Coturnix japonica: one gene and its partners. The protein of the gene in region 3 binds, or shares a complex with, the protein of the main gene of each other region. Links are inferred from orthologs where the notes say so. Each region holds a gene or a part of one and is shown on either strand. Other genes may lie near its edges. The genes, in order: MZT1, TUBGCP2, TUBGCP3, NME7 and TUBGCP5.

Evidence for each region.
Region 1: the proteins of TUBGCP3 (region 3) and MZT1 are in contact, whole or in part, in a cryo-EM structure (PDB 7QJD), measured with the Homo sapiens proteins. The link is inferred for Coturnix japonica from reciprocal best matches to the Homo sapiens genes TUBGCP3 and MZT1. Residues at the interface, in NP_006313.1 of Homo sapiens: Lys7, Pro9, Leu12, Leu13, Asn15, Leu16, Cys17, Arg19, Ile20, Leu21, Arg23, Val28, Gln31, Tyr34, Ala35, Val38, Ile39, Asn42, Phe43, Ala44, Pro45, Thr46, Ile58, Leu62, Arg67, Asp70, Phe74, Leu77, Lys80, Leu81; in NP_001065243.1 of Homo sapiens: Asn17, Ala20, Val21, Glu23, Thr24, Val27, Leu28, Glu30, Ile31, Ser32, Arg33, Ile34, Leu35, Asn36, Thr37, Leu39, Asp40, Glu42, Thr43, Ile46, Cys47, Val48, Arg49, Leu50, Cys51, Glu52, Gln53, Gly54, Ile55, Asn56.
Region 2: the proteins of TUBGCP3 (region 3) and TUBGCP2 are in contact, whole or in part, in a cryo-EM structure (PDB 8Q62), measured with the Homo sapiens proteins. The link is inferred for Coturnix japonica from reciprocal best matches to the Homo sapiens genes TUBGCP3 and TUBGCP2. Residues at the interface, in NP_006313.1 of Homo sapiens: Glu272, Asn273, Cys274, Ser286, Leu287, Asp289, Thr290, Val292, Arg293, Glu296, Trp299, Ser361, Thr363, Leu364, Arg365, Leu368, Val369, Tyr372, Lys375, Ile376, Lys379, Ala382, Ala383, Asp386, His387, Ala402, Tyr403, Lys405, Thr406, Gly407; in NP_006650.1 of Homo sapiens: Gln172, His173, Pro175, Ile176, Phe177, Pro178, Trp180, Arg184, Ala186, Leu187, Ile188, Gly189, Phe191, Leu222, Tyr223, Val226, Val228, Asp229, Gly230, Arg231, Glu278, Ser281, Phe283, Gln287, His290, Ala291, Ala294, Arg297, Val300, Lys301.
Region 4: TUBGCP3 (region 3) and NME7 share a complex: the UniProt entries of both Homo sapiens proteins name them as parts of the gamma-tubulin ring complex. The link is inferred for Coturnix japonica from reciprocal best matches to the Homo sapiens genes TUBGCP3 and NME7.
Region 5: TUBGCP3 (region 3) and TUBGCP5 share a complex: the UniProt entries of both Homo sapiens proteins name them as parts of the gamma-tubulin ring complex. The link is inferred for Coturnix japonica from reciprocal best matches to the Homo sapiens genes TUBGCP3 and TUBGCP5.

Annotation. Positions count from the first base shown.
Region 1 is NC_029516.1:140,208,957-140,213,000, reverse strand, and holds the start of MZT1 (mitotic-spindle organizing protein 1), read right to left. Parts: upstream 2,810-4,044; 5' UTR 2,709-2,809; coding exon 2,660-2,708; intron 2,482-2,659; coding exon 2,336-2,481; intron 1,305-2,335; coding exon 1,281-1,304; 3' UTR 1-1,280. Other genes in the region: BORA (protein aurora borealis), read left to right, coding at 3,493-3,648. UniProt on the Homo sapiens protein: Required for the recruitment and the assembly of the gamma-tubulin ring complex (gTuRC) at the centrosome.
Region 2 is NC_029521.1:5,966,141-5,970,341, forward strand, and holds the start of TUBGCP2 (gamma-tubulin complex component 2), read left to right. Parts: upstream 1-1,400; 5' UTR 1,401-1,467; intron 1,468-1,473; exon of another isoform or gene 1,474-1,758; intron 1,759-1,900; 5' UTR 1,901-1,919; coding exon 1,920-2,069; intron 2,070-2,747; coding exon 2,748-2,876; intron 2,877-3,040; coding exon 3,041-3,217; intron 3,218-4,201. Other genes in the region: ZNF511 (zinc finger protein 511), read right to left, coding at 192-356, 521-645, 728-929, 1,109-1,182, 1,257-1,400. UniProt on the Homo sapiens protein: Component of the gamma-tubulin ring complex (gTuRC) which mediates microtubule nucleation.
Region 3 is NC_029516.1:124,246,797-124,250,309, forward strand, and holds part of TUBGCP3 (gamma-tubulin complex component 3), read left to right. Parts: intron 1-2,176; coding exon 2,177-2,284; intron 2,285-3,358; coding exon 3,359-3,426; intron 3,427-3,513. UniProt on the Homo sapiens protein: Component of the gamma-tubulin ring complex (gTuRC) which mediates microtubule nucleation.
Region 4 is NC_029516.1:74,987,352-74,990,864, reverse strand, and holds part of NME7 (nucleoside diphosphate kinase 7), read right to left. Parts: intron 1,532-3,513; coding exon 1,426-1,531; intron 1-1,425. UniProt on the Homo sapiens protein: Possesses an intrinsic kinase activity. Displays 3'-5' exonuclease activity with a preference for single-stranded DNA. Does not seem to have nucleoside diphosphate kinase activity.
Region 5 is NC_029516.1:117,464,979-117,468,491, reverse strand, and holds part of TUBGCP5 (gamma-tubulin complex component 5), read right to left. Parts: coding exon 3,341-3,513; intron 2,794-3,340; coding exon 2,678-2,793; intron 2,191-2,677; coding exon 1,922-2,190; intron 1,010-1,921; coding exon 811-1,009; intron 426-810; coding exon 237-425; intron 1-236. UniProt on the Homo sapiens protein: Component of the gamma-tubulin ring complex (gTuRC) which mediates microtubule nucleation.

The DNA of each region.
Region 1 (4,044 bases), about 16 Mb from region 3:
TTTTCTAGGATACATTTATTGTCAATCTTTCCATACAGTAGATTCTTTAATACTTTTGAAAACATTACACACAGTATTCAGAAGTTTTAACACAGATTCTACACCTTTCTGGAGTGATTTCTTGGCCAGAGTAATAGGAAATAAAAGATATTTATCATGTTTTCTAAAGCTGTGACCCAGATAGAGTAATGTGTGATGTAAACTCAAAAGAACTTTTCCGTCCGCACAAAAGATGAACCTTGAATCTTTATTACGTGTGCTTCCCCTGTCAGCCTGCTTTGGGTTCTATTAACACCACTACTTAGAAAACAGTCTAACAAAAAATTGGAAAAGCTAAAACAGCAGCAGAGGACAAACACAAGAAAATTTTCTTCCTATGAAGAAGCATAACTCCTGGATGCAAAAGATTCACTGAATGATAATTTGTTCAGTAGCTTAATGCATACACTAGAAAGATTTGTTTTTGCATCAGTGGATATTGTTTGTGCTGAAGGAGAAGACTCCCCTACACCAAGTGACTGTTTAACACAACTAAATCAGCCCCTACTTGTAAGATGCTTTGACTAGTAATTAACAATATATGCTTAATATTTTCAGGTTGAGTGTTCAGAACATACGCAAACAGCATTTGATATTCCACGTTATCTACATGTCAAATTTACATACATCCAAATTCCTTTCTAAAACAAGTTAAAAACTCTTTTTCCAACAGAATTAGAAGGACAAGTCATTATCTTGATAATCAAAAGTGCTTTATTTCTTACTTTCAGAACATGACTTAAGTCATTTAAGTCATCATCTGTACTCTAATTAAAATCAGCTCAATAGGGACTTCTTTCCTACCTTTACCACAGATAAAAGCATCCACATATTTTCACACTAGTACAACAGGAATAAACAGAACACAATAGCACTTCTAAAGAATGCGTTAACAAGCCATATTCGTGATAACATTCACTGTTACACACTAGTAATTTCAGCAAACCTTCAATCTCTGACACTGTTTAAAAATCCTACATGCTGAAGGGCAGTTACACTAAAATTCACCCCTGGTTCATAAAAATAACCAAGTATTCAAGTGTGGTAAGATTACTGGTGGGCCTATTTAAGAAAACCCAACTTTAAGCTCTTCCATACATTGCCTTTTTCAAGATGACTTAGAGATACTCTGAAACCTCCAGATATAATTTGACTTCGTATTTCTAAGTAGCAGCCAATGTTCAAATTCTTTATCAGCTCTACAACTTCGAACTCTTCTCATGAAGAAGGATTCTATCACATCAGCTTGTCATATTTTCAGCAGCCTAGGGAAAAAAAAAAATTTGTCACCAAAAGCAGACATCATTTATGTTGTAGATTTGAAGCCCAGATATGAGATAAAAAGAGAAATGAAAGCAACACAAGTAAGACATAAAAAATAGAAAAGAAATAGAACATCCCTCAACAATGTATATGCACAATTAAGCTTGTGTACACACATTTAAGCACATACACAAATAAAAAATACACACAAGTATAGAAGAGTTTGAAATTATAAAAAAATAAAATAAAAATTTAAATTATGCAAAAAAAAAGTCTGATTGTAAAATCTGAAAGCTGAGTTCTTTAAGAATCAGAACATAGCCTTCAAAAACAGATAAATAAACAACATAAGATGTAGTGGAGAAGGAATCATGATGGTTAGGTAGACAGCAAAGCATCAAAATCCTTTAAAGGGCAAATGAGAATTTTTTAACTATAGTTATTTTCCCTATTAACCAAATAGTTACATGTGGCTTTTTATACTTTAGTACTTACAATGCACACACACCATGAAATGCTGTGATTTGTCTTTGGAGAGACGTAAAGCACAGGTTAATGAGGTGACAGCAATGTGTGGAGACTGTTAGCCACAACAGCTTCATGAACTTGTTCACAAGTGTTGCTACAGAAAGGGTAGTCAGGCATTGGAATGCACTGCCAGGGAGGTGGTGGAGTCACCAACCATGGGAGTGTTCAAGAAACATTTGGATGTTGTGTTGATGAATATGATTTAGCTGGGAAGTATTGGTAATGGTTGGACTGGATGATCTTCTAGGTCTTTTTCCAACCTTGATAATTCTGTGATACATACTATGAGGCCTGAGGGTGTATAAGGAGCTGATATGGGCTGAAGAAGAAAGCTACAGTCCAGTCAGGACATGAAGCAGATAAAGGGAAATAGTGGCTGAAAGCACCAAGAAGAGAAATCTGTTTTGTTGATTTTTTTCTTAATTTTAAAGGAAAAGAAGCACAGCAAATTGAACCAAAGATTTGATTCTTTTAAAACCGTGTGCTTTTTAGGGAATGGCATTACCTTTAGAGCTTCTGTAGCCTTACGCAGTTCTTTAATGACAGAAGACAGTGCTTCTGGGTTGATGCCTTGCTCACAAAGCCGCACACAAATAGACAAGGTCTCCATATCCAACCCAGTATTTAATATTCTTGAAATCTCAAACAGAACTGCAAGGAAAAAGAAAGCAAATTAGCCCCAACAGCGATCAAAGAAGTTATTAATCAAAGCTGAATTTCTACTGTACAGCATGGAAGTGGCAGTTATGGAACCTCAAGCAAACCAATGTATCTACAAACAAGTGCCGCATCCCCAACCCCACTGGCCCCTCCCGCCCCTCCCTCGTACCGTCCATCGTCTCCCTCACGGCGTTGAGGCTGGCGGCATTGCTCGCCATGGCGACCGCCCACCCGGAAGCAGAAGGAGCGACCCCAACCTCACGTGATTCCGGGACTCCGCACCAGGCCCAAGCGGAACCTCCCGCTCACAGCAGGAAGGTGGGGGGCGGGCTAACGTTCGAATTTGTGCAGCGGCTCTGCATGCGATTGGCCCGTTCGTGAGCGGAGGGGAGCCTACGATTGGTTCGCCGGCGGCTGCGGCGCGCGTTGATTGGGCAGAATTCGGGAAGGGGCGGGAGGTGGTTAAAGAGCCGCCCGGCTCGGCGGAGGCGGGCAGTTTTAATTGGAGTCGGGTATGAGTGCGCGTCGCGGCAGCGGGGCTTCGGTAGCTGGGCCTGAGGAGTGGGGGGGTGGTGGCGTGGTGGCGGCCCTTGGTACAGCTGTCCCGTGAATACGTGGCTTTAGGCCTCTGCTGCTCGCTGTGTGCGTTCCTCGGCCTGTGAGGAGCGGGGAGCCGCCTCGCTGTGGGGCTGACAACTCCTCTGAGGCCCCGCCGTTCGGTACGGGAGCACCTGGCACGAACGCGATTGGTTTCCTCCATGCTGGTTTCCAGTACCTCGTTTCCTTTGGCTTTGCTTTCTAGGCTCCGTCTTTGTACCAGCCTCGTTTATCTGCTTCTCACTGGTCCAAGCCAAAATCTGCTTTGCCGTTATGAGTTTTCTGTCTCTTCTGAATGACCGGTCATGGGTTGAAATTCTTAGAATGACCCTAACGAGTCAGAATGGTAATTTCCTCCCCTCACATTTCCTTCTGTTTCTCTTCCCCAGGCACAGCTTCACTGCTATGGGCGATACAGAAGAAGCCCAAATGCAGATCAGCCCCGAAACTCCTGGGCGGGTCACAGTTCTGAATCCTTTCGAAAGCCCCAGCGATTATTGCACCCTTCAGGAGCAGATTGTCTCCAGTCCTTCCGTCTTCAAATCAACAAAATCTTCATCTGTAAGAGCTCATTTTCTGTTCTATGTAGTGCCGACACATAAAAACACGTAACACAGTGTATTTACTTGATTTAATGTATGCAAACCCAAAGAACTTGGGGTGTTTTGTGGTTCTTTCATTTACCTCAGTAAGCTTCTTTTAATGCTAACGCTGTAATTTGGTCTTCGCACCTTGATAATGAGATTAAAAAGACAGTGTTTTGTTAGATCGTTTTTCTAAGTGCTACTTGCTCACTATTTTGTACTGAAGTGCTACTTCAATGGATGAGACTGCTTTGTTCCCAAACTGGATCTTATGATCTATGCCTGACAGTGCCCTTTGTGGCCTGCTTCTAGACTGTCCTCTGTCTCCTTTGAAATGTAAAGTAAAAGGAAGGTTGCTGTATTATTTCGATAT
Region 2 (4,201 bases), on a different chromosome or scaffold from region 3:
GCAGGTTTCTGTTGGATGGACCACGCTGGCATCTCAAACTCAAAGTACAAGCATCCCTTTGCCAACTGGGATAGTTCAAGAAAGAACATGACGTTCTTAGAGGCCATTAAAGTGATCAATAAATGATTCAGGTGCTGCCTCAGTGACCTTTTGATCAGAAACTTTTGCCTGTGCAGGCATTTGGCTCAGACCTGGATTTATAGAGGCGTTTCTCTGGTACTGAAGGGCTGGCTGCAGGCTCTGTGCTCTCCATGGGTACTTCCATATGGTCCGTCTCGAGCTGCTCCGAGGTCTCCATGCTGACATCCATCAGCATGCTCCCATCATCTGTGGGACAGCTCACATGCTTGGTACCACTGCAGAAAGAAAACGTGACATCCATTCTCAGCAGCTGAAACGCGAGCAAGGAGCAAAGAAAATGAAAGGGATTTTAGAGGACTCTAGAAAGGAATGGGACAGCAGAGAAGCACATCACTTGAGCATGGAAAAAGCAGCTGTGCTGCTGCCATTCTGCAGTTACCTCTTCACTTTCTTTGGTCTATCAAATCGGAAGTCAGCAGGGTATAAGTGAGCAGTGACCAAGTGATCCTTCCTGTCTTTGCTGCACTTGAACTTCTCTGCACAGCCTTCTACCAAGCACTTGTACTGAAAGAAAGGAAAGAAAACACCCCCTGGGAAGGGTGAACAGCCAGTCCGTGTGGCAGCAGGGGCCGGGCCATGCCCTCACCATATTCTGCTTCTCAGCCATGATCTGGAAGAGCGAGTCGTGCCACTCGGAGATGTGGATGTCCAGAAGGTGCCCTGAAGGGAACGACCGCCTGCAGAAGGAGCAGACGTTGCGGTGCAGCACGTTGTAATGGTGCTCGTAGCCCTCAAGTGTATCGAACACCTGGGAGCAACCGGAGATGTGACAGCAGAACTCAGACACCCTGTAAGGGAAGGACAGCACATTAGTGCATCCTCAGCGTGTAGTATATTATACGTTTAAGCCTTATTACAAGGCTCTGCCCCAGATGCTCGGGTCCCTGTGAGCTCGCAGGGGGCCCAGCAGCTCCGTGTGCAGGGCAGGGTCTCAGTGGGGGCTCATCTCTTGTCCCATGCAGCTCACCTGGGCCTCTCCGCCTCCTCGGCGCGGCCCGTGAGCGCCTCCCGCAGGTACAGGTGTCTGTGCACGTCTCCATCCTGCAGCGGGGGGACATGGCAGTCATGGAGCAGCCTGGCCAACGGGCCGCCCGCCCCGCTTGGCTCGGCCTCACCTCGAGCAGGGGGTGCTGCGGGTCCAGGCGCAGGCGGCGCGGGCAGAAGGCGAAGGGAGCCCGCGGCGGGGCCGAGGCGGGCGGCGGGGCGGGGGGCAGCGGCGGGCGGTCCCGCAGGCGGCGGCGGAGAACGGAGAGCAGCATCGGACCGGACCGGGCCGCGCAGGCGCCCGTAGCACTTCCTGCGGCAACGGCGGCGGCTTCCGGGCGGGTAGGAGGGATGGAGCGGGATGGGGACGGAGAGGAGCCGCGGGACGGCGGGGTGTGGGGCGGCTGGATTCGTTCTGTGCGTCTGCTCTGGGTTCTGTGTGCGGGGAGCCGCTTAGAACCAGCCCGGTGTCGTCGTTTGTAACGCTGTGGTTCCGATCCGGACAGCAGGCCGCGCTGAATGCAGCCGGTCGGGTCGGCGCTCCACACTGAGGCCTCCCATAGTGTCTGGAAGGCAAAGAAGAGCTGCTGCCCACGCTTAGGCCTGGTCTGTAGCAGGGCAGTAGCGTGCAGGGTGAGGGGCTTGTCTTACAACTCCCATAAGTTTCTTTGTGCCCATCCAGCACACCCTATGGGCTTATAGTGCAGCGTTATTCTTGTGCTTACACCAAAGCACTAACGTAGCTCACTGCCTTTCTTCCTGTATCCAATGTTAGGTTGGATTTCATTCGCGCCATGAGTGAGTTCCGCATCCACCACGATGTCAACGAGCTGCTCAGCCTGCTGCGTGTGCACGGGGGTGAGGGGGCCGAGGTGTACATCGACCTGCTGCAGAAGAACCGCACGCCCTACGTCACCACCTCCGTGTCTGCTCACAGTGCTAAGGTGGGCCAGAGTAATGGCATTGCATTGGTCCCTCGCGGAGTTATCCATCCATCAGCTGAACATGAGCCAGCGTAGGTGACCATGAAGGCCGGTGGCATCCTGACTTGTATCAGAAACAGTGTAGTGGGCAGGATCAGGGAGGTAACTGTCCCTCTGTAGTTGACACTGAGGCTGCACCTTAATGCTGTGTTCAGTTTTGGAACCTTCACTACAAGAAAAACATGGACGCCCTGTAGTGTAAGGCAACAGTGCTGTGAGGGGTCTGGAGCACAAGTCTTGTGGAAGCAGCTGAGGGATATGAGATTATTTAGCCTCAAGGAGGCTCAGGGGAGACTTTACTGCTCTATAGCTCCCTGAAAGGAGGTTCTGGGAAGGTAGGTGTTGGTTTCTGCACCCAGATAACAGCAAAAGGTTGAGGTAATGGCTTTAAGTTGTGACAGGGGAAGTTCAGGTTGGGTATTAAGAAGAACTCAGAAGGAGTGATACATTCCAAATCAGTCCATCTTAATTATCAGTGCGAGGCCAGTGCCGCATTGTTCAGTCCAAGACCTATTCCCTGAAGCACTTTGCTGGCAGCAGTGGCCTGCACCTTGTTTCCCTCCTTGCACAATGCTCTGCTCTGGAATGCTGGAATGATAATCTACCTTAAACATTAAATATTCCTGTGGTCTTTTACAGGTAAAAATAGCAGAGTTTTCTAGAACTCCTGAAGACTTTTTAAAGAAATACGATGAACTGAAGTCTAAGAATACAAGACATTTAGATTCTTTGGTGTACCTGCTCTCAAAGCTCACAGAAGACAAAGAGGTTTGTTTCTGTGTTAGAACTGAGCATGTTATAACTCCTTGGTAGTAGCAACAATGCAGTGGTTTTAAATATGCACGCTGTCAGATTATAATATTCATTGGAATACAGCTTTGCTGCAGTGTGTGCTGACCAGTGCTCACAAAATTTCTTTTGTGTGTATACAGACACTCCAGTATTTGCAACAAAATGCTAAAGAAAGGGCGGAACTCACAGCAAACGTGGCAGCTGGTGGCAGCACAAATTTCTCCATCCCCTCATCTACTTCCAAGATTTCTCTGCAGGAACTTGAGGAGCTGCGCAAGCAGCTTGGCACCGTCACAGCCAACTCCAGCGCACAGCAGGTACTGCCCCTCACCTTACATGTGAGATCTTTCCCAGCTGTTGGTATGTAGCTGTGCTCTTAACTTTTGACATCTAGGGGAACTGCAGATATTACTATCCATCTAAATCTGCTCTCAGAATGGTGCTAGTCAAATTATATTAAATCATTGTGCTGTTATTCCAAAAAGTGGCCTTTTTATTGAAGTCAGGTAAGGTCAGGCGAGTTTAGGCCACAGCAGTTCTCACTGGGGCATAGTGACCTTCAATGAGAAGAAAATAAAATGACCCTCTGCAGATCCCATTTCACATACATGTGGAGCTTAAGAAATGGCTTTCATAAGCATGTCCCCTTTTGGCAGCTATGGAAAGCATGGCGCTTTTGGCAATTATGTAGGTTATACATCACCTCTCCAGCTGAAAATTAGTCTTTCACCATAATTATTTTACTGACAGAGATCCAGAGCCATGAGTGGAGACTGTTATGGTCTTGTAAAAGCTCACTTCCTTCACAATCAGAGCAAAACCACTGTCATTTTCCACTGGTGTATTATCTTGATGGCATTTCATGTGCAGCTACTCCACGGGCAGTGTGCTGAAACTGATTTCAGAGGTGGTCATTAGCCTGTTTGCAAGTGCTCCTTGGATAAGATGTTGCTGCTTTCTTCTTCTGGAATTAATTTGTTGGCTTTTACATGGTGGAGTTTGCAAACTAATAAGGTGACTGGAGCTTGTAAGCGTCCCGGTTTTGCTCCTGTGTGTATGCCACAGCACCAAGGCTGGTGGGAGGGGTATGACAAGGCATTATGTGATGCATCTGCCAATAAGAAGATGGCCAACTATATAAAATTCACCTCTGCAGCACTGAGACCAGTAGCCTGAATGAAACCAAGAGAGTACACCTACACTTGTTCTACTGAAATATCAATTATTCCACTTTCTATTCTCAAATTATCGGTTTACAGTCAGTTTCTCCTTCTTCATTCTTCTCTCTTTTTCTTTTTTTT
Region 3 (3,513 bases):
AATTCCAGCAGATATCTGGGAAGTTCAAGTCCCCCCAGGAACAAGGGGAAGAGACCTTGAGACCTCACCCAACTGCCTATGAAGTGTCTTTTCCACATCTTCCTTGTTGGGTGGCCTATTGCAGACTCCCATGATAATATCAGTCTTATTGGCCTTTACTTTTATTCTGACCTGTAAGCTCTCAATCCTATCATCACCGTTGTTAATTTCCACACATTTGCATTCTTTCTTAACACAGAGAGCTACACCACTGTATTTCCTGCCTTGCTTAGTTCTTTTGAAACGTTGGTAGCCATCGATCATATCACTCCAGCTGTGCAAGTCATCCCGCCACTGGTGGCGCAGTGGTAGGAATGCCGCCTTGCAACACTGGAGGCCTTGGGTTCGAATCCCCTGTGGCGCAAGTGGTGGAAGTGCCGCTCTGCTACACAGGAGGCTCGAATCCCGGGGGTTGGACTCGATGATCTCTAAGGTCTCTTCCAACCTGCATGAGACTGATTCTGTGTGATACTGTGATTTCCCTGCTAGTGACTGTATCATAGCTTTCTGACCACACAGTGGCATCCAGCTCCTGTTTATTACGCATGCTGTGTGCATTAGGGTAAAAGCACCGGAGCTGGGCCACCTTTTGGGTGGGATAAGCCTTATATCTGCCTTTGGCTGTAATTCATCTTGAATGCCGTGTTGTTTGTAGGGAAGTGCAAATGGTTGGGTAGATGGTAGATATTGAATTATTGATAGCTTGCTCTGCTCTGGGGTGAGAGAGTCATACTGAATCACTTTCTGATGGGAAAGCGTGTACACATACAGACACACAGTTATGTATTTTACACTTGCCTGCCATCTTAATGATCTTTGAGGCAATTAAACATGTCTACTAGTTGTAAATGATGAGATTATTCCACTGACAGATATCTGAATTATATTACATTTAAGCACTACAGGTGGTGAAGTTATGTGATTTCCAGTGCAAATCTCTATGTGTGTTAGTATTAAATGTCGTCTAGTGTTAAACATGGAGGTTGATGGCCCTGTCTCTGATGGAGGGGTTGGGGCTTGATGATCCTTGAGGTCCCTTCCAACACGAGCCATTCTGTGATTCTATGGTGTAAAGAGTGGATTTCTTCGAAACATACTGTTAGTCACGTAGCAGGGTTAATCTGCAGCATTCTTTAATGGGATTGTAAGTTTTTGACTTGAGACCTTTCTCAAATGCCTCGTTAGGACATTTTAGAAACACTTAGCTAGGTGTCTGTGCTTTAATTAGTCTTGCTATAGCTAATGTTGACATAGAAAGTTAGGGAATTCTTTAATAGGGAAGCTCTGTTCCCTATTAAAGGAACACCCCCCACCCCCCTTTACTTCTTACTGTTGATAGCATATCTATTGTGTTTTCATTAGCCTGAGGACTTAAGTTTAAATCTCCAAAACTCCTTTCAGAAATCTCTGGGATCTTTCATCCTCCATATCTGTTCGTTTATGCACTCTGGCTGCAGTCTGGGCAGGAGGTGGTGCCTAATACTGCTAAAGCTGTGCTGGCAGACCAGGGAGAATGCTTAACTGCTGAGCTTATGCTGCACTCTGACCCTCCTCAGGCAAGGTTATTTGGAGGTTTGTTCTGCCAGCCCCCTCATGGAGACCTCAGGGAATTGTTTTTAATGTTGTTTTTCTTTTTTTTTAATGTAAAAGGTGCTAAGAGAGGATAATGGAGGTGGATGTAAAAGTTAATTTCTAAACATTATTTTCCTTAGGAACAATCACAGCAGTGTTTCCTGTGTGCAAGCTGAATTGCGTGACTGCGGCAAGTCCTGCATAGCTTTTCAGGCTGTAGGGCGTTGCAGAGCCTCTTGAAGTTTGCTGATGCTCTCTAATAGCATCAGGCCAAAGTGTCTCTTCAACCAGCAAAGCACAGGAAGTATTTATTGCATATGTTTAATTAGCAGAGTCTGTACAGGTGTGTTTGAAGTATTGTTAATCTCCCCCCCAGGATAGCATAGACTTCACTGCCCTCTGGTTAGAAGTGTATCTGAGGAATATAACAGAATCTGATCAAAGCTGAGTACGTTTATGCCAAATTCAGTCACAGCTATGTAATCTTGTGGGTTTTTTTTTCTCCTTCTTTTAATAGTACTTTATCAGTCTGCTTAATTGAGTGGGTTTCCCTTTGTTTTTTCAGCTGATGTAGCCCAGCAGTTCCAGTATGCAGTGAGAGTTATTGGAAGCAACTTTGCTCCTACTGTCGAACGGGATGAATTTCTTGTGGCGGAGAAAATCAAGAAAGAACGTACGTGTGTTTCTGTTTATTCCTCTGAAGGTGGAACTGTTCTGCCACATTTACCTAATACTGATTACTGCTCTTATTGCCTGTTCCTGAAAATCTTGTGATGGCAATTCTACGAATCCCCTAGTTACTCCTCCTGAGCTCAGATGCTTAGTTTAAATTTCCCTTGCTTCTGTGCAAGCCATTGACTTCCCATCTTAGCCACCATGGAAATAAAGAGCAATTTACATTTCATTCATTTTGTTATTATTCAGACTTCATAAATACATACTTCATTTTGGAAGACTGATGTTTTTGAGCTACACTTTGGCACAATTAACTTCATGAGCACATATGTGAATCTTAATGAATGAGCATTCTGGGGATGGATGGAATCATTGTTCATGCGGATTACCTGATATTTCTCGGCTTCTGTTTTCATAAACGTTTATTTACAACAGCCTTCCCAGAGCCAAAACATTAGACCGTGACAGTAAGTTACTGCAGTTATGTTCCACTCTGCTCTGTGCTGCTCTGAGTCAGGTGCTGAGCTCTTAATCCCATTGGACTATGAGGCATTCTTAAAAAGCCAAGTAATGCTTTCAGCAGACTCTCAGCTCAACGGTAGGATGTTCAGGAGCAGTTCCTGATTAAATTAAAGCTTCTATTTGTGCTCAGGAACTCTGAACATTTGGTCAGGATGATTGAATTAGAATCACTGAATTGTAACCTTTTAAAGTACTTGTGTATTTTTTGCTAATGCAAGGTTTCCATTACTTACTAACTGACAAATAAGCCCATCTAGAATTTCTCTAGATACAGCTGTAAAACCCTGTATTCTACAGTATACACTTCCTTTGTTGCTATAAGAGAAATGGTTACTGTTTACATTGGGTCATATCCCCTGCAAGAACTGTTGAGGCTGGGAATACAAGTAAGTGTGAAAAAACTCTCAGAAGTCTTGAGTAAGTAATGCAAAACAGTTGAGCATCATAATGCTTTCTTGGTTATGTTTTCCTATTTAACACAAAATGTATAGTTTCTAACATGACTATTATTCTTGTTCTAGTTCTTTTAATCTACATTTATCTCTTTCAGTTGTGCGACAAAGAAGGGAAGCAGATGCTGCTTTGTTTTCAGAACTCTACAGAAAGCTCGGTTCGCAGGTAGTGTAATAAACACGTGAAGAAACTGAAAGCACACTCAAATTCTTTTGATATTCTAGAGTTGTTTTAGATAGTCCTCAGATCATT
Region 4 (3,513 bases), about 49 Mb from region 3:
ACAACTGTTTTGCTGTTTTGTTGTCCACAAGTGGGGAGAAAGGGAAAGTAAGTTGCTTATTTTTTTTATACCACACAGTCTCCTACCAGCAATTTTACCTGAAGGGAAGCTCATTAGTTGCTATAGCACCTACTCTAATTGAGCTACAGAAGATGTTGCTGGCACAAACAGATGGTCTCAGGTATCACCAAACACAGTTACTAATAGCTGTTAGAAGACAGATAAGATGAGCAGGGCCACATTCACATGAATGGGTCACCCAGATTCTTTCAGCATGCTTCTACCTGACTCCAAAACAATCTCTATGGGGAAGAAGGACCAAGCATAGCAGGTGTTGCCACTCTGCAACAGACTAAAGAGGAGAACAAGAGTAAGGACTACAGAAGGAGGCAAAGATAACCAAATCTTTCTCCCTGTGACACTCTTGGACTGCTGGGAAGAGTTCCTGCAGCCTTTGTGAAGATGGATTTCACTCGTTTCTAACTGTTGGCTGGAACCACTCCAGCTTTTTTGCAATTTTGAACAATTAAGGACACTAACAATCCTATCACAAAGAAGTCTGCCTGAAGTCTCCTATTTCAGGTGTGAAAGGTCTGGAAACCTATGGCCATTTCTTCTGCTGTCTCCATCTTAGTTGTCCATAGAGACATGACTAGTGTGCTGCATCTGACCAAGAAAAGTCTAGACATGCTCACTTGACAATATTTATTTCACACTCAGAAATATTGTTGAGATGCCAGAACTGAAATATTTTACTGCGCTTACTACTGCTCTTACACATGCTCCTGTTTCTAAGTACATGTTACAAAAGCAAGGTTATTTCAGCAGGGTAACAATTGGGCATTACACTTGTCTAATGCTCATACAGTAAACTTGCAGGATATGCTCCAGCACAGAAAGAACTATGGAGTCCTACAAATGTTTACTACTTTCCATCCCCACAGCAATCAGCAGAACAAGATTCATGTATGGGAAAAAAATGTCCCTTTGTAAGAAGTTCTAATGTAATATGTTACTGCGTAAATGGAAGACCTTGTAACACAACCAGGTGTCCTGCTTTCACCCTGCCATGAGGAAGCTAACCTCCACTAGAGTGTTGTAGACAGATAGGAGTAAGGATACAGTTATCACAGCTTAAATGAGATTAAATTAATCTCATTTATAATTTTTTGTATTTCTTTTTCCAGTCTCTTACTGTTTATTCTGAAATTAAAATTATCCACACAGCACACAACCCATGAAAGTAAATTGAAGAAATACTAAAGGTGTATGGAAAAGGATTTGCATACTCTTGCAAGTACAATTAAATACTCTGTGTTCCTACTATTTCACATTTTCACACACACAAAAAAAAAAAGCATAAGAATGACCATGAAACAGAACAAAGCATAATTTTCTTTTACCTCCACTATTCATATTCCTTACCTTCATTAACTGCATGAGGCTTAATAATGCAGCAAGTACAGTTTGTGAACTTTGCGCTGTTGGCTGGTCCGTGACCTCCACTGGAGGGAAAGAAGAACTCCAGCTCCTGAAAACAATTGTAATTGAATTCACTTTAGTTTTTATCTAGCTGCATGCATAAGCTTCCATCCTAAGTAACGACATCTGAAGTACTCATAGTTACAGAAAACTATTGATTTTTGTGCTACAAATACATCTCCCCTACAATATTCTACACATCTTTCCAACCCTGGCAACACTGCTGCCATCATAAAAACTTCATTTGAATATTTCTTGTAATTTCCCTTTCTGCTTTCACAATACAATCTATTTCCATTCAGCCACAATCATTTGGCAGATGAAGTATCCCCAGATTTCTAAATTCCCTTTCCTCAGTATTTTTCCCAGGTCTACTTCCATGTACAGATTTTTAGCTTCTCTCTTTTCACAACATGTTTTCCTCCACTTAAGCAATAACACAATGAGCACCCAGCTTTCCCTGATACAAAAACCAATCTCCATCCCACTCATTTACAACCTTTTTTTCCCCCTTTTGTATTAAAAAACCTTCGCCTAAAATTGTTGGCTCCACTCTCATGACTTATGGACTCCTACCCCTCTTTTCTTTTTTCCCCCCTTCAGCCTTAGTGAATGGAAGATGGGCTCAGTTACCCTAATTTCTGAGAAGAATCAGAAGAACCTCTTTGCCTCTTTGTTTCCCATTACTTCCTTTCCTCCTTCCATCACTATTTGGTCTTAGACCACAGTAAGCTGGACACACAAGCTTCTTTCCTCAGTGATTTTATTTATTTATTTTTATTGCTCACTGCCAGCTTCATGCTTTTTCCATACCATTTATTCACATAGCTTACACAATCTGCCAATAAACATTAGTCAAATGCTCGAAATGCAGATTCCATTTAAGACCTATTGGTCAAATTAAGTAAGAGAATTGATGAATTTCTATTTAAGGGAAATAATAATAACCTGGAGATACTTCTACCAAATCCATCTAATTTTTTTTTTTCATGTGTAACACTAACAGCGCTGAAGGCCATTTCCTGGCATTGTCTCATTTAATTTACTAGCTCAGTTCAGACAGAATAAACTTAACTATTTCTCAATCTTCTCCTCACTTTATTCTGGCAATTCCTGTAATCCTGACTTGAACAATTACACAGTTCTCACTCAGGGATCATTCAACAGGAAGGAAGGCGAAGTGTTTTTGTTTTCTGTGTTTTTTCCCACCTAGCAAACAATGCCCATCTTGAGTGCTCATGAGTGTTAGTTTCCTGCACCCTTCTTCTGAGGACATGCTGCATCCCTCTTTGACCTTGTCCCATTCTGTTAACTAATGTTCACTCTAAAAGCAGTAGCCAGGAAAAGTTAGCAAGGTACTTAAAGCATCTAACACTTTCTTTGGTCCATTAAATGCCAGAAGAGAAAAGTGTCTAAATAATGCTGAAGGATAATGAAATGCTAAACAAAATTCAAGTGATGTTTTAAAAAGAAAGTATTTTTTATTTATGCCTAATATGAAAAAAAAAAAATTAAAAATGGTCCTGCAGAAAGAGAAATAACCTTAGAAGTACACCAGAGGCCTACTTTCATTTGTCACTGCAATGTCCTGTTCTAACTGCAACCAACTAGTTTCCAGCTGCTATACAAATATATAGTTCTGCACCTACTACATTAAAGTAGGTAGAGGCCTATTAAATTCACAATTTCAGTTATCTTACCAGAGATGGGTATTGGTAACACCACAAGGATGCCTACATCTGCCAAAGTTCAGCAATATAATAATGTTGGTCATAAAAATACCACAGATGAGCAGAGCCTTCAAACTGCTGAAATGTAAAAAGAGCTACCAACTTAAACCAAAGCAAATAATTAAATTTATAGTCAGAATCTTACGTTAATAGATACTGTCTCCTACACTCTCAGGCAAAAAGCTGGCACAACAGTAACTGCAGCACACAAACGAAGAGAAACCTCCCCATTTGAGCACAAAGACATTGGTCAACTGCCAGAATTAAAGACTTTTCTGACTGAAATTCTCCTTTATAAAAA
Region 5 (3,513 bases), about 6.8 Mb from region 3:
TACTGTCCAAAACAATTTCCCTGTTTTCAGTGGGTGTTCAACAATGCTGCTGGTTTAAAATAGGTGTTCCAAAGTTTCACTCGTGACCATCTTAGATTTCCCCTTTTTTGTTATGTATTTTCTTGAGGTTTCAGTTGTTGTAGGAAAAACAATAAAAATTTTAGAAGAAAATTACTGCTTTTACTTATATGGCAAAACATTGGTAATTAGAAATGCTAACCATGTTACTTTCTTACCTATAATCCTTCTTTAAAGTTTGCATTAGATTACCACAGCACTCCAAGTATTGCTTGTCTATGTGAGGATAAAGGCAAGACCTCAGCGTCAGTTCAAAAGTCTGGCAGGTGACCGATTCTGAGGATCTGTCCACACAAACATCCCCACCAGTAAACTTCTCGTGGAAGTCGCTCTGCTCCAAATATAATCTTAAAAATTACATAAAATACAAATACTTAGGGAAGAATACATATAATTTACACAATATATAGAAGAAAAATGTCATACCTTAGAAAATTTTAATCAAAATTGGAACCCCTGCTCAAAAAATAGGATCACAAAATAAAAGGTGTTTGCACCTATTTTCTATACTAACCAATGTAAGCAGCCAATTCCTCGCTGATTTGTTTTTCCTCTAACTAAGCAGGAGGGTATTTATTGAGATTCTGCCACTGATTATGGGTGCTCCTCTTTATTCTATTTGCTTGTTTTCTGCAGCAGCAATAAAAATCAGCTTTACCAAATGTCACTAAGCAGAACACTGCTCTCAACAACACAGCAGGAAGATCATTCATCTAGTGGGTATTTACTTACCTGGCAAAATTAATAGCCAGCAGAGGGTCATGGACATCATCCAGTTCCAAGTGCCTTTCTGCTATAGACTGCATCTTTATCAGGCTCTCCTTGGTGGCCTGCTGCTCTGTAATAATATCTGGAACAGATTCTTCCCCATGCCTCAGGCGAGACTGCACAGATTCCAGGAACAGTGTATACAGACTCTTTCTTTCAGCATCTAAACTGGGCAACATGTTTCATGGTAAGGTTTCATCGTAAGAGAAAGTATCACCTGAACTACAAGCGCAGCTGCAGAATCCAACATACACTTAACATATTTTAGACTAAATTTAGGCTACTTCTCAAGTACATACTTAGAACAAAATATCACTGGATCAGTGTGTTTAGTCTAATACTTCAAGTCAGGCACTGCTAATCAGAGCCTGTAAGAGAACTTCTTCAAACATAAAGGCAATTAATTCTCAACGCCTAAAACAACCATGTTACAGAGGGAAACAAACCTGTAGAGATGCCAACATAATTCAGCTATCCCTATTAACCCCATAGAGATGGTGTGACTGAAAAAGCACGTTTCATCTCCTCCAGAAAAAATTAACATTGATTACACTGCTACACTGTGGTTTACAACCATTCAAATAGTAACCTGGCTATAGATATGCATAAAAATGTCAGTATAAGTTTCATCTAATTATTTGGTAAACTTCTTTTTGTTGAAGAAGTTCTGTAAGCTACCTCGAAATTACTCAACCACTTGATAAGGAAAAACAACTATTTATTAGATCAAAACACGGTTTTACTGTTTATTATCACTATCTGTGTTTGTCTAATAACAAATGAAATGTTTTGAAAGCATGTAAAAAAAAAGTTCATGAAAATATGAAGCATCAAGACCTGAGTCAAGTACCTGAGTGAGTACTTGATCATTGATCATTGATCATTGTTCGCTTTGTTCCTGTCACTTGACTGCATTGGAAGAATAAGTTTTCCATCAGAACTGGAGTTACAAACCACGATACTGACATATAAAGAGGACAATTAAACTGCTCTGTAATCACAAACACCATTATATAAAATATTCCCATGCTGTTAGGTACCCTAGGGCACAATACTCCACCAACTGACAGCTCACCCCTGGATGCAGCCTGCTGTGGAGAGCCGTCTTTGCATTGAAGATTCTTTAACAGCTGCATGGATTTTCCAGCCATGATGATTTGCTTTAGCACAGGTTTCAGAAAAGAGACCATAGTGTGTTGCCTGCTTGAAGGGGCCTGATCACTGCCAGAACTGGCGCTGGCATTATCACTCATCTTCTCTTCATTCTCTGTCTTTTCTGACACACTATATAACGTGTAGGTAGCATACCAAAAATCTCTGTGATCAACTGGAACGTTTTTGTTCCTGTCAAGTAGGGGGAAAAAAAAAATAAAAGGTGTTAAATATTTCCCTTTTTAAAAGGTGAAACTTCCTTAGCAGAAGGTTTATCTTCATAGAATCATAGAATTACCCAGGTTGGAAAAGACCTTGAAGATCATCAAGTCCAACCGCAGCCTTACCATAGTACCCTAACTCTAACAACCCTACACTAAATCATATCCCTGAGCACCACATCAAAACGGCTCTTAAACAAAACCAGGGATGGTGATTCAACCACCTCCCTGGGGAGCCTATTCCAGTACCTAACTACCGTTTCTGTAAAGAAGTTCTTCCTAATATCCAACCTAAACTTGCCCTGACGCAACCTGAGGCCATTTCCCCTCGTCCTGTCACTTGTCACTAGTGAGAAGAGACCTGCCCCTCTCTTCATCTTTGCTCTATGCTTTGCCTTTCTTTCAGAACAGTCAAGAAGTACTTTCAAACTATGAGTGTCCAGCACCAGTGCCCCTACCTCTGAATGATGAATTCCTTCGCAGGATCAAACAAATTGCCGTGGACAATCCACTCATCTACTGTCTGTAAGTACGGCCTCACAGTCTCAACCCAGAGAGAGAACAGAAGGGACACCTGAATTTAAAGAAAGAAAAAAATTAAGTAAGAATTAAGTAAAAAATCAGCTTTTTAAGTATTACAAGCAACATGGCAGAGTCTAACTGATTAATTGCATGATAGTAAGTTAATACTTAGCTATACTTCAAGACTTTTCAAAGATAAAATATTCAACTAAAAATTACAGGACTAGCGGTATTAACGGAGACGTGCATTGTGCAAGTTTCCCCTTATTACTTCTGTCATTGCAATTAGACCCAAACAGCAACTTTCATTACTCTGACATCCTTTAAATGATAACTGATAGCTGTAACACACCGTGGCTTTATAGTGCAGAAAACGTGAAAAAAAGGACACAGTGACATCTATGACATTATCACTAATGCTCATCTCCTTGTGAATCTTGTATGTAGTCTGAATGAACTCATCAGAAAACAGTAATTCATTATGGCTACCAGATTTGTCCTCAGTTGCTGAAGGACAGTGTACTCAGGCAGTAGAATGAAATCTATGTTACCAAATATTCTAGAGTGTGATTTCATTAAGGAGGAATGATTTTGCCTACCGTTTGCTCAGATGCTTCTCCAACACTGTCATATTCAAGAATAGCTTTGTAAAGAGTGTTAAGCAGATGAGATGCTCGGACAACATTTCTAGTGTCAGGTGGCACTTCCGCTACTCCTGTGCTAAAAACCTTGTGAAGAACCTTCAGCTGTGCCAGGCGGGGAGACAGCTTAT